2 linked regions of the Caenorhabditis elegans genome follow. The protein of the gene in region 2 purifies or fractionates together with the protein of the main gene of each other region. This does not show direct contact. Each region holds a gene or a part of one and is shown on either strand. Other genes may lie near its edges. The genes, in order: rnr-1 and mcm-7.

What was found.
Region 1: the proteins of mcm-7 (region 2) and rnr-1 fractionate together in Caenorhabditis elegans (co-fractionation; one large-scale study listed by BioGRID). This does not show direct contact.

What each region holds. Positions count from the first base shown.
Region 1 is NC_003281.10:9,224,800-9,230,380, forward strand, and holds rnr-1 (Ribonucleoside-diphosphate reductase large subunit), read right to left. Parts: upstream 3,452-5,581; 5' UTR 3,450-3,451; coding exon 3,324-3,449; intron 3,280-3,323; coding exon 3,001-3,279; intron 2,954-3,000; coding exon 2,223-2,953; intron 2,176-2,222; exon of another isoform or gene 2,051-2,175; intron 2,001-2,050; coding exon 1,350-2,000; intron 1,302-1,349; coding exon 722-1,301; 3' UTR 576-721; downstream 1-575. Other genes in the region: T23G5.3 (uncharacterized protein), read right to left, coding at 4,436-4,543, 4,617-4,731, 4,785-5,087, 5,137-5,264. UniProt on the Caenorhabditis elegans protein: Provides the precursors necessary for DNA synthesis. Catalyzes the biosynthesis of deoxyribonucleotides from the corresponding ribonucleotides.
Region 2 is NC_003283.11:4,345,119-4,350,337, reverse strand, and holds mcm-7 (DNA replication licensing factor MCM7), read right to left. Parts: upstream 3,173-5,219; 5' UTR 3,141-3,172; coding exon 3,039-3,140; intron 2,991-3,038; coding exon 2,154-2,990; intron 2,109-2,153; coding exon 1,060-2,108; intron 999-1,059; coding exon 794-998; 3' UTR 570-793; downstream 1-569. Other genes in the region: F32D1.3 (dolichyl-phosphate-mannose--protein mannosyltransferase), read left to right, coding at 146-472; hpo-18 (ATP synthase subunit epsilon, mitochondrial), read left to right, coding at 3,918-4,046, 4,094-4,129; figl-1 (Fidgetin-like protein 1), read left to right, coding at 4,342-4,925.

The sequences.
Region 1 (5,581 bases), on a different chromosome or scaffold from region 2:
ACAAAAGTTCCGACAGAAGCATCATCATCTTCATCATTTCGTGTGTCTCATAGCTTCTCTGAGTGCTCTTCTGAGCCAAAAAAGCCAAACCGAAACAAAGTCATCAATCGTTTTGAAGTCGAAATGAGCAAAAACGGAAAAAGAACCCAAAAAAAGACAAAAGAGACGATGAACAGCTTCCAATGACGAGACAGGGAGGAAACGAGTAGTAGTTTATTTGAAAAAAAGAGCAATGAGCAAAAAAACCAAGAATCAAGCTAATCTCGCTAAGAACCGGGGGCCCATCTGACGAGAGGAGCTCTACGCATAGTTCAATGTTTCTATTCCGGCTCATTGAGCACACGAAAAGAGAATCGAAAGGGCGCATTTGAAATCTGCTCGATTGACGGTTCACTAAACATTACCCACGTACACCTTCAGTCGAGACCCACTTTTGTTGCACCATGATGTTGCTGAGAGAGTATTTAGGAAAAAAACTACTAGAGCATGAGAAGAGGAAAACTTCCGAAGTTTCGGATGTAAACCTAACACGGTTCCACATTTTTCAGCTCCTGCAATTCAAATCGCTCGAGGACTCAGATTGTCAGTTTATTGACCATTAAAACTTTAGAAAAAATGAGTAACCGCGAGCAAAATAGGGTTATCAGTATAACAGATTAAAGTGAAAAAGTGAGCAATTTGGGAATGTACAAACATGATCAACGGGTGAAAGAAAAAATGATTATCCGGAGCACATGAGGCATCCTTCATCTTGCGACTCGGCCACGGTGGCTGGCGTCTCAGCTTGTTGGTTAGTTTTCAGCGCATTCTTATCCACAGTGAATTGAACTGCATTGACAGCTGGCTTGGTACGCAAATAGTACATTCCAGTCTTGAGTCCCTTCTTCCATCCGTAGAAATGCATTGATGTGATACCGGCGTAGCTTGGCTTGGCCATGTGAATGTTAAGAGATTGGGATTGATCAATGTATGCTCCACGATCAGCAGCCATCTCAATAATGTCTTTTTGAGAGATCTCCCACACTGTGCGATAAAGTTCCTTGATGTCGGATGGAATTCCATCAATGTTTTGAATGGATCCATTGTTGGCAATCAGACGATTCTTCATCTCATCAGTCCACAATCCTCTTTCCACCAAATCCTTGAGCATGTGAGGATTCACAATCTGGAAATCTCCAGAAAGAACACGGCGAGAGTAGATGTTCGAAGTGTATGGCTCGATGGATTCATTGTTTCCGAGAATTTGAGCAGTGGAAGCAGTTGGCATTGGAGCCATCAGAAGACTGTTGCGGATACCATGCCTGTAAATAAGTAGTTTAATCAGATTCGAAAGAGTATTTTAATCTTACTTTGCAATTTTCTTGCGAAGAGTGGCCCAATCGCATTGATCGGTTGGAGTGACTCCCCACATATCAAATTGAAGCTGTCCTTTCGATACTGGAGATCCTTCGTATGTCGAGTATGGTCCATTCAACTCAGCCAATTCACAACTGGCTTCCAATGCAGCGTAGTAGATGGTTTCGAAGATTCGTTTGTTGAGATCTCTGGCTTCTGCCGAAGTGAATGGGTAACGCATCAACATGAAGCAATCAGCGAGTCCTTGGACACCAAGCCCGATTGGGCGATGGCGCATATTAGAGTTGCGAGCCTCCTCGACTGGATAGTAGTTGACGTCAATAATCTTATTCAAATTTCTGGTTATAACTTTAGTCACCTCAGCCAGTTTGACGAAGTCGAACTTTTTCTCGGGGGTCACGTAGCGATTGAGAGCAATGGAAGCAAGGTTGCAAACTGCAATCTCATCTGGAGCAGAGTACTCTATGATTTCAGTGCACAAGTTGGAACACTTGATAGTTCCAAGATTTTGCTGGTTAGACTTGCGATTGGCGGCATCTTTGTAGGTGATGTATGGAAGCCCGGTCTCGATTTGGTTGGAAACGATGTGCTCCCAGAGCTTGCGGGCCTTCACCGTTTTGCGGACTCGTCCCTCGGCTTCGTATCTGGAAATTTTGATATGAACTTTGCAAATTTAACTTCACTGTTTAAAAGTTTTTGTTAGTTGATTTTTGTCCGGAGCACACCTTTTTTTTTGAGTATATTCCGGTTATCGATCAACTATTTCATATTCGAAGTTAGTAAACTCAGTCCAAGCAGTACTCTTAAAGTTCTGTCTGGATATCGCACTTCGGTAATTAAAAAAATAAGAACCAGGAGATACTTACTTGGCGTAAAGAGCTTCGAACTCCTCTCCCCAGCAATCATCAAGTCCTGGACATTCACATGGGCACATCAACGACCATTCTTGATCCTTCTCGACTCGCTTCATAAAGAGATCTGGAATCCAAAGAGCAAGGAACAGGTCTCTGGCACGTTCCTCTTCCGGTCCAGTGTTCTTGCGGAGAGATACAAACTCGAAGATATCGGCGTGCCATGGCTCCAGGTAAATAGCAAATGCTCCTGGGCGTTTGTTTCCTCCTTGATCAACATAACGAGCAGTATTATTGTAGACACGAAGCATTGGTATGAGTCCGTTAGATGTTCCATTAGTTCCAGCGATCACAGATCCAGTGGCGCGAATTTTGTGAACATTGAGTCCGATTCCTCCGGCACTTTTTGAAATAAGAGCACACTGCTTCAATGTATCGTAGATTCCGAGAATGGAGTCTTCACTCATTGTCAGAAGGAAGCATGAAGACATCTGAGGACGGCATGTTCCCGAATTGAAGAGAGTTGGGGACGCATGGGTCATGTAACGCTCCGACATCAGATTATAGGTCTCGATTGCGGAAGTAATATCATCTCCATGGATTCCAATAGAAACACGCATCAACATCTGCTGTGGGCGCTCGACAATCTCCTTGTTTATCTTGAGAAGGTAGGAACGCTCCAGTGTTTTGAATCCGAAATAGGTGTAGGAATAGTCACGATCGTAGACGATGGCGGAATTCAGCTTCTGAAATGAAATTTTTTTGAATAAATGCAATTCCTAGGAAAACTAACATCAGCATTCTTCTCAATGATAGCCCAAGTCTCATCACTGATCATTGGTGCGTGTTTTCCGGTATGAGGATGATGGAACTCGTGAAGGGTTTTCATAACTTCCGAGAACACCTTATTCGTTTTCTTGTGCAAGTTCGAAACGGCGATTCGAGCGGCAAGAAGAGCATATTCCGGATGTTGTGTGGTCATGGAAGCAGCAGTCTCTGCAGCAAGATTATCCAACTCAACAGTTGTCACTCCTTTGTACAAGCCACTGATAACTTTGATTGCAACAGCGACCTGGAAAATTTAATTCATCATTGAACTTGTGTTTAATAACAAACCGGATCGACAAAATCCATGTTCAATCCATAGCTCAGCTTCTGAATTCTGGAAGTGATCTTGTCGAAGTGTACATCTTCCTTTCGCCCATCCCGCTTGACAACATAAGTGCTGTTGTAACGTTGCATAACTGGAAAAGATGAATTATTAACAATTTGAGAAGAAAAGAGTGAAAATGGAGGAGCGGAGAGAATTTTCAAATGACCAGTTCATCTCAAATTTACTAGTTTTCGCGCCTAGGTAATAGAGGAACGCGCGAAAACGAGACGCAGACCAAACAAACGCGCTCCATCGGAATTCAAATTCAAAAGGAAAACGAATTATTGAAATCTTGGTCTCATAGAAAAAACAAGTATTACAGTGAAACAGAATACATTATATTTTCCTACGAATTCTGGCTTCAATATGGTTTTCTGATAGAAGTGAGCTAATGTCGAAACACACAAAATTGGCCTAGAAATTCAAACCGAAAATCCACGGTCCTGAGCATTTCTAACTACGGCAGTTTGAAATGAAATATTAATTCACAGCTGAAGAATTTCATTTAAACAAAAAATGTGTTTAGTTTTCTGTGTGAGGAAAAAATCTATTTATACCCTTCGGCACCACAAGCACCGCCTCTAACCATGGCTCCGCCCTTTAGGACAAGTCCGATAATCGCATTTCATTGCTCTGAAATTTAAAAAAAAACGTAAAATTCAAAATAAAACCACATAAAAATGCATAAGATCAGAAGAAACCCCGAAAATAAAAGCTGTAAAACACAATTTTGCCGCGGGTTACTGTAATGGTCTCGACACGAAATATTGTATTTAAAAACTTTATGCGTGCGCCTTTGAAAGAGTACGGTAATTTTTTAAAGAAAAAAACATGTTTCGATGAAATAATATTTATATTCAGTTTTTCCTTAAATTTTCAAACTGCGGACAAAAAAGCGTAGTTTTTTATTTTCTGATGTTTTGTCAGAGATCACTAAAATTTGCTGTCGGTCAATTCAGACAATAAAAAACCACCAGCTGTGATTGCGAATTTTCGAAAATTCGAAAAACGCGTATCTGTTGGCATGCAAGACATGACATAAATAATTTATTTTGACACAGATATATTCAAATGGTTAGTGACGAGATGTTCCATCTCTTGACTGCATTAATCCTCCAGTTATGAGCACTTCCACGCTATGGCTCTCCTCATCCGCATTTTTGTTGACAACATTGTATACCGCCTGAAAATAGATAAATGAATTTTAATTTTATAATTCTATAGATATTCTACTAATTTTCAAGAAAGTTACTCACACTAAGATCAACTGCCTCTGCAGCAGCATCACAGATTTTCCTCACAGTCGGATCATCAGTCATTTTCTTATCAAAAAGTACCGATGCACCATTCCAACCAACATGTGCAATATGTCTGAAAATAAACTTTTGTAAGTAATTAATAGATAAAAGATATCCAAATCTCACGTAAAGTTCCTTGGAAGACTAATCGAATCTGCAGACGTTTTAATTTTTTTGGAATTTCTGCCAGTTGGAGGTTTTCTCATCGGAATTTGTACAGTATCCTTCGGCTGCATCAATGACGGAAGTGGTGGTGGTGGAGGTGGAGGTGGTTTCGAAAGAAGAAGATTACGTGGGACAATCGGAACATTTTCTTTTTGGGTCAAGATTTGGTTCGGTATTGGAGTTGATGGAAGTTCAGGTGGGCAAGTACAAAATGTTCGCAGCTTATGTTCTATCATGTTTCGAAGTGGTCCAATTTTGAAAAATCTATAATGATTTATACTTTTTGCAATATTCTGATTTGTTCCGAACTTACACCGCTTCACGTAAGATTCGCATAAGCTGATATTCGTCTTTTGGCAATGAACATTTCTCATGATCTCTTAGAAAGTTGAGAATAACCGGAAATACTGAAGAATCACGGTCGATGAAGAGTCTACCATCCTGAAATAAGCATTCAAATTTTCCCAATCTACCGTAACCCCCATTCTTGCCTACGTCACAAATTGACGTCACAGGCACCCAACAACCAGTTGGTCATTGCTTTTGAACAGTGCGCTACGTCACACCAGGAGGAGGTCAAGGGAATGGTGTTAGTGGTTGTGGTGTCGGGTGAAAAGTATGGCAACGGGTGGTGGTGGAAAATTATTTGAATGATTCAATGGGCCTGCAGATGTTTGATGACGTAGACATATACGCAGAGTATTTAACACAAGGCATTGGGAATCTTGGGGAAGGTTAGTTGACCAAATGAGGTTTTA
Region 2 (5,219 bases):
ATGGCAAAATGTTTGAATTTCTGAGTTTCCCGCCAATACCTAACGAGACCCAAAGTTTGGCGTTGGAGCGCGCTTTCACCTCGATTTAAAAAGCGAATTTTTCTGCGTCTCCACAATAAACAAATCATTAATAAATCCGTTTCAGCAAAACTACAATCGCTCGTTGCTCTTCTATCGAAAAGCTCTCCATCTGGATCCAACTCATCTCGACTCTCTGCAAGGAATCGCGAATCTTCTGCAACAAACTCAGAACCACGTGGAATCTGAAACTTTCTACAGAAAAGTGATGGAAGCTCAACCGAATTCGTATGCGGCTCACGCCAACTACGGAGCAATTCTTCATCTTAATCAGAAGTACGATTTGGCTCTGAAAGAATACGAAATCGCACTGATCTTGGATCCAACGAGTGACGTGGCACGAGAAAATCGCAAGAAAGTGATTCGGATCTTACGGAGGAAAAGAAATTTGTAATTAATATTAAATAACTATTTTAAAATCGGTGACTACTTACGGGTTAGAATCTACTGAAAACTACGTGTATTTGAAATAAACTATTCCAAATTTAATTCCATAATCAATTTATTATGCTCATCGGCATCATTCTCCGTAAAGGCGAAACAAAAAAAAACAACGAAAAAAATTTGAGATCAGAATACGAATGTGTTGAAGGAAAAAATTGTGAAAATTGTCAAACATAGTACAATCTTACGATAGTTATTTAGATAGTGTGTGATTAAATGTGGGAGGGGGTGAAAATTAAAAAGGCAATTCGTCGAAATTATACAATTAATTTTAATTCATAGCGAACACAATGTTCTGGCGATCCATGACCAAGAGACCGTTAGCAGTGTATTGATCCAGGCATTTCTTGAGAGCAACCTCGCTGATTCCCTTGCGAGCGCATCTTTGAATGGCGTTTGAGATGGCGATCGGGGCGTTGTCGGCATGGTAGAGCTCACGAAGAACGGCGAATGCAGCATCGACTGGAGCCATGCGCCTGAAAAGAAAATAATTTTATGATTAAAATATTCGCTATAAATAATTTTCTGAAAACTTACTTCTCAATTTTGTTCTGTTCTGGTCTGAGCGAGTCCTTAGCGAATTGCATCAAACGGAGAGCTTCTTCAACGTCACTTTCGTCGACAATCGTGGATAGACGAAGCTTAGCACGAGCTGTCGCCATTCTGACGATTCCTAGAATCATTCTTGGCGACACAAATGTTGGATCGGACGAATATCTAGCATCTCTGCGCATCTCAACGTATGCCTCGACAATACGTTCTCGAAGAGCTGGATCGACAGTTGGAGTATACGTCTTGCAAAGAGAAATGTACTCGCGAAGTGTCTCAAGCGAGATGAGATCCTTCTTCTCACGATTTGGATGGCAACCGTGCTGATGAACATATGTGATGTGCTCAGCGAGAATCTTGTCGTTCTCACGATCAGCCTTGTCCTGCATGAGAAGAATCAAATCGAAACGGGAGAGAAGTGCAGCTGGAAGATCAACGTTCTGCTCAATGGAACGATTTGGGTTATATCTTCCGTAGGCTGGATTGGCAGCGGCGATGATAGCCGTACGAGCGTTGAGTGTCGTCATGATTCCAGCTTTGGCAATCGAGATGGTCTGCTGCTCCATAACTTCATGGATCGCAGTTCTATCGTGATCCATCATCTTATCGAACTCGTCAATGCAGCAAATTCCTCCGTCGGCCAACACCAAGGCACCACCCTCGAGAGACATCTCTCCAGTGACGGGATCCTTCATCACAGCGGCCGTGAGACCAACTCCAGAAGAACCACGACCAGTAGTGTACTGAGATCGTGGAGCCAACCGGTTCACGTAGCCGAGAAGTTGAGATTTAGCAACTCCTGGATCTCCCATCATCAGAACGTTGATGCATCCACGAATTTTCATTCCGTTCGAGCTGTTGTCATTTCCTCCAACGAGAGCCATCAAAAGGCACTTTTTAACATCAACGTGGCCGAAAATTTCCGGAGCGATGGAGGCGGCAAGAGTTTCGTAGTTGTCTCCTTTGCGACGGAGAACTTCCAGTTCGGCGGATTGAACTCCATTGAAAGTTGGGTTGTCGTCAAGATTGTTGATGTACTGAAGAGTAACGAATAATTTGATAATTTTCAAGTTTTAACTTACGTGAGCTTCCAAATAGGTATCGGCAACGAGTCCTCCAGTTGGTCGGAAGCCAGACTGCATAATTGGCAAGAATACTCCAGAAACATGCACGACATTTCCAGTATTGCACTTTCTCGTCATCTCCCCGTAAACGTGAACAGTCATTGTGCGAGGAATCGATCCTACTGGGACTTGCTCGCTGAGCTCTTGAATTTTGAGCTCTTGGAACTTGACGAATTTCGATCCACGAAGCTGCATGTGAAGTCTTCCGTTGGCTTTTGCCTCAACGCATTCCTTGTTGGGACAGTTGACCGGTGGGGTGAATTGCATTCCCTTCACAGGCTGATAGACTTCGGCGGCACAAGTATCGCAAGTGTAGGTCATGACTTCAACACAAGGTTTCACCTCGGTCGCACGGATAACAACTCCCTTCATGGAGACCAAGTGCCCGATCTCGGTGGCTTTGATGTTTCGGACACACGTTTCATGGGCGGCATCGTCCGTTGTGAAGTAGACCTCGAAGCGTTGAAGGAGCTGTGGTGGGTATTTCTTGCGTTTGTCCTGAAGAGAAACTTCCTCGTTGGCGGCTCCCTCGTTCCTATCCATATGAAGACGCTGGAACATGTAGGCATCAAGAGCATCGATTACTGGCGCTTGCTTGTCTCCGAGATAGTCCTGGATCATATCCGAAATTGTGTCCTTGAACAGGACTTCGTATCTCTTTGTATTGGAAGTAATGGCTTCTGAGAGTTCAAGAGCATCTGGAATATCAGATTCCTTAATATGGTCAACATTCACAACGATTGCCTGCTTGTCGCGGCGAGCAATTTCAAAGACTTGATCACGATATGGGAATGCCTAAAAGTTGAATTTAAATACTCATTTATACACCAAATTCGGGAATACCTTTCCAGATCCGTCCTCATTGTCCACATAGTATTCGTCGAAGAAACTGCGAATTTTCGTCTTCTCGGCAGCCCAGTCTGTGTTGTAAGTGGTGGTTTTCATGGTGAGTGAGATTATAGGATTATAGAGCCGGGCTGAAATGATGGAAATTTTATTTTTTAATTGGAAAAACTGAAAAAATCGCGAAAAAAGCTGCTCTTGTAGCACAAAACCGATAATAAATGAGCGAGAGAGTGAAGGAATGTGCGGCAGATGGCAGCGTCGTCCGTTCGAATTTCGCGCGTTTGCCTCCTTCATGTCGTTGCGAGACCCACCAGAGTGCGAAAGTCTATGCGCCTTTAACTTATATTTTTCCGACATGGACTGTGCCATTTTTAGCTGTTTTTAAAGAAAATTGTTCGTTTTTTCATTGATTTTTGGTTGTTTTTAGATGGAATTAATGTTTATTTTAATTAAAATTGGTAAAATAATTGCTAAAATCGATAAATTGCTGCAGAAACGACAGGCAATTCTGAGAAAAAATGTTTTTTTTTGTCTCATCAGTAAAATTGTGGTTTTTCTTGGTTTTTTGTTAGTTTTTAGATGGGATTAATGTACATTTTAATCGCAAATTGTAAAATAGCTTTTATAATTTCGAAAATCGATAAATTGCTGCAGAAACGACACATTTTTTGTTTCAAGAGTAGAATTGTGATTTTTCATTGATTTTTGGCTGTTTTTAGATGAAATTAATGTTTTTTAATCGCAAATTGTAAAATAGCTTTTCTAATTGCTAAAATCGATAGATTTCATTAGTAAAATTGCGGTTTTTCTTTGTTTTCTTGTGCAAAATTAGTCGCTTTTTTCCAATATTTCTTTTTTATTCATGTTTTTCAGAAAATGGTCGCCTGGAGAGCCGCTGGACTCAACTACGTGCGTTACTCGCAAATCGCTGCCGAGATCACCCGCAAGTGCACCAAGCAAGTCGGAGGAAAGGCCGCTGTTAAGAAGCCAGAGGCAACTCTCAAGGTGATTAAATACGCCTTATTATTCAAGTTTTAACACGAATTTTTCAGATCACCACATGGGAAAATGGAAAGCAGCAAAAGTAGACAAATGATCGCACAACAGTATTCGAATAATTCCATTTGGATACATTCCATACCTTTCTTCTCTCACTTCCGATTGTTTATGATTTATTTTATTAGACGATATAAATTTTAAGCTCAATTATTCCTTTGCCTTTAAGTTGTTCAAGTTACCCCAGTCTTTTTGAATATTTTTTTGTGGGGGTTTTCAGGTCAAAAAACACTATTTTCAGATTATGTATTCTCCAAAACGGGTAAAACTCAATGTGACCAGTGGAATGAGAAAACGGCCCGAAACCGGCGAAAATAACGATGATCTTTACCCACCGACGGCTCTTGCTCGCAATGGGATTAGTCCGTATTTTATCGGAAAACCCCGTCGAAAAATAGTCGTGGAGACACCTTCGGATTCAGCTCAGCAGCAGCCTCCATTCAAATCTCGTTCTCAACAAAATGGTCTGGATGACGAGCTAGACGGGATAATAATTGATGAAGACGAAGATAGAACCGTTGATGTGTCGTTTTCACAAAAACAAGACACCCGGAAGCTCAAAAGTCGACCGTTTCTTGGCGAGAAAAGCAGCTTCAAACTTGGCGAAATTCCGAAACCAAAGGAGGAAAAACGCCGAGAAGAGCCGTTCACAATGCGAGGCTTCGATTTTGGAAGCGACGATAAAGTGACGAAAATCAGAGACAAAATCTGCGATATAGTGGATCCTACAAATGCTAGAAGAACTGATCCGAATTTTATTCGGCAAATGCATGAAAATACGCTGAAAGGCATCGAGGTGGCTTCAAATCCGCACTTTAAGAAGACCAGGTTCGTTAAGAGATCACGAAATTCTGAGAATGCGTATTTCACAACATATTTGACGCGCAAGATATCTCGTAGCGAAAAAGAAAACTACAGTAATTCTTTAAATGAAGCGCTTGTGTCGATTTACGGGCTTGATTCTCGGAAAAAGACACATTTTTCGAATTTTGATAGCGATATTCAATTTTTCTTCGTTTTTTTCCTATTCCTTTATCATTTTTGTGCTTATTTTTAATATTTTTTTTCCATTAATAAATTATTTTAATTGAAAAAACTCCAATATTCGCGTCATTTTGATGA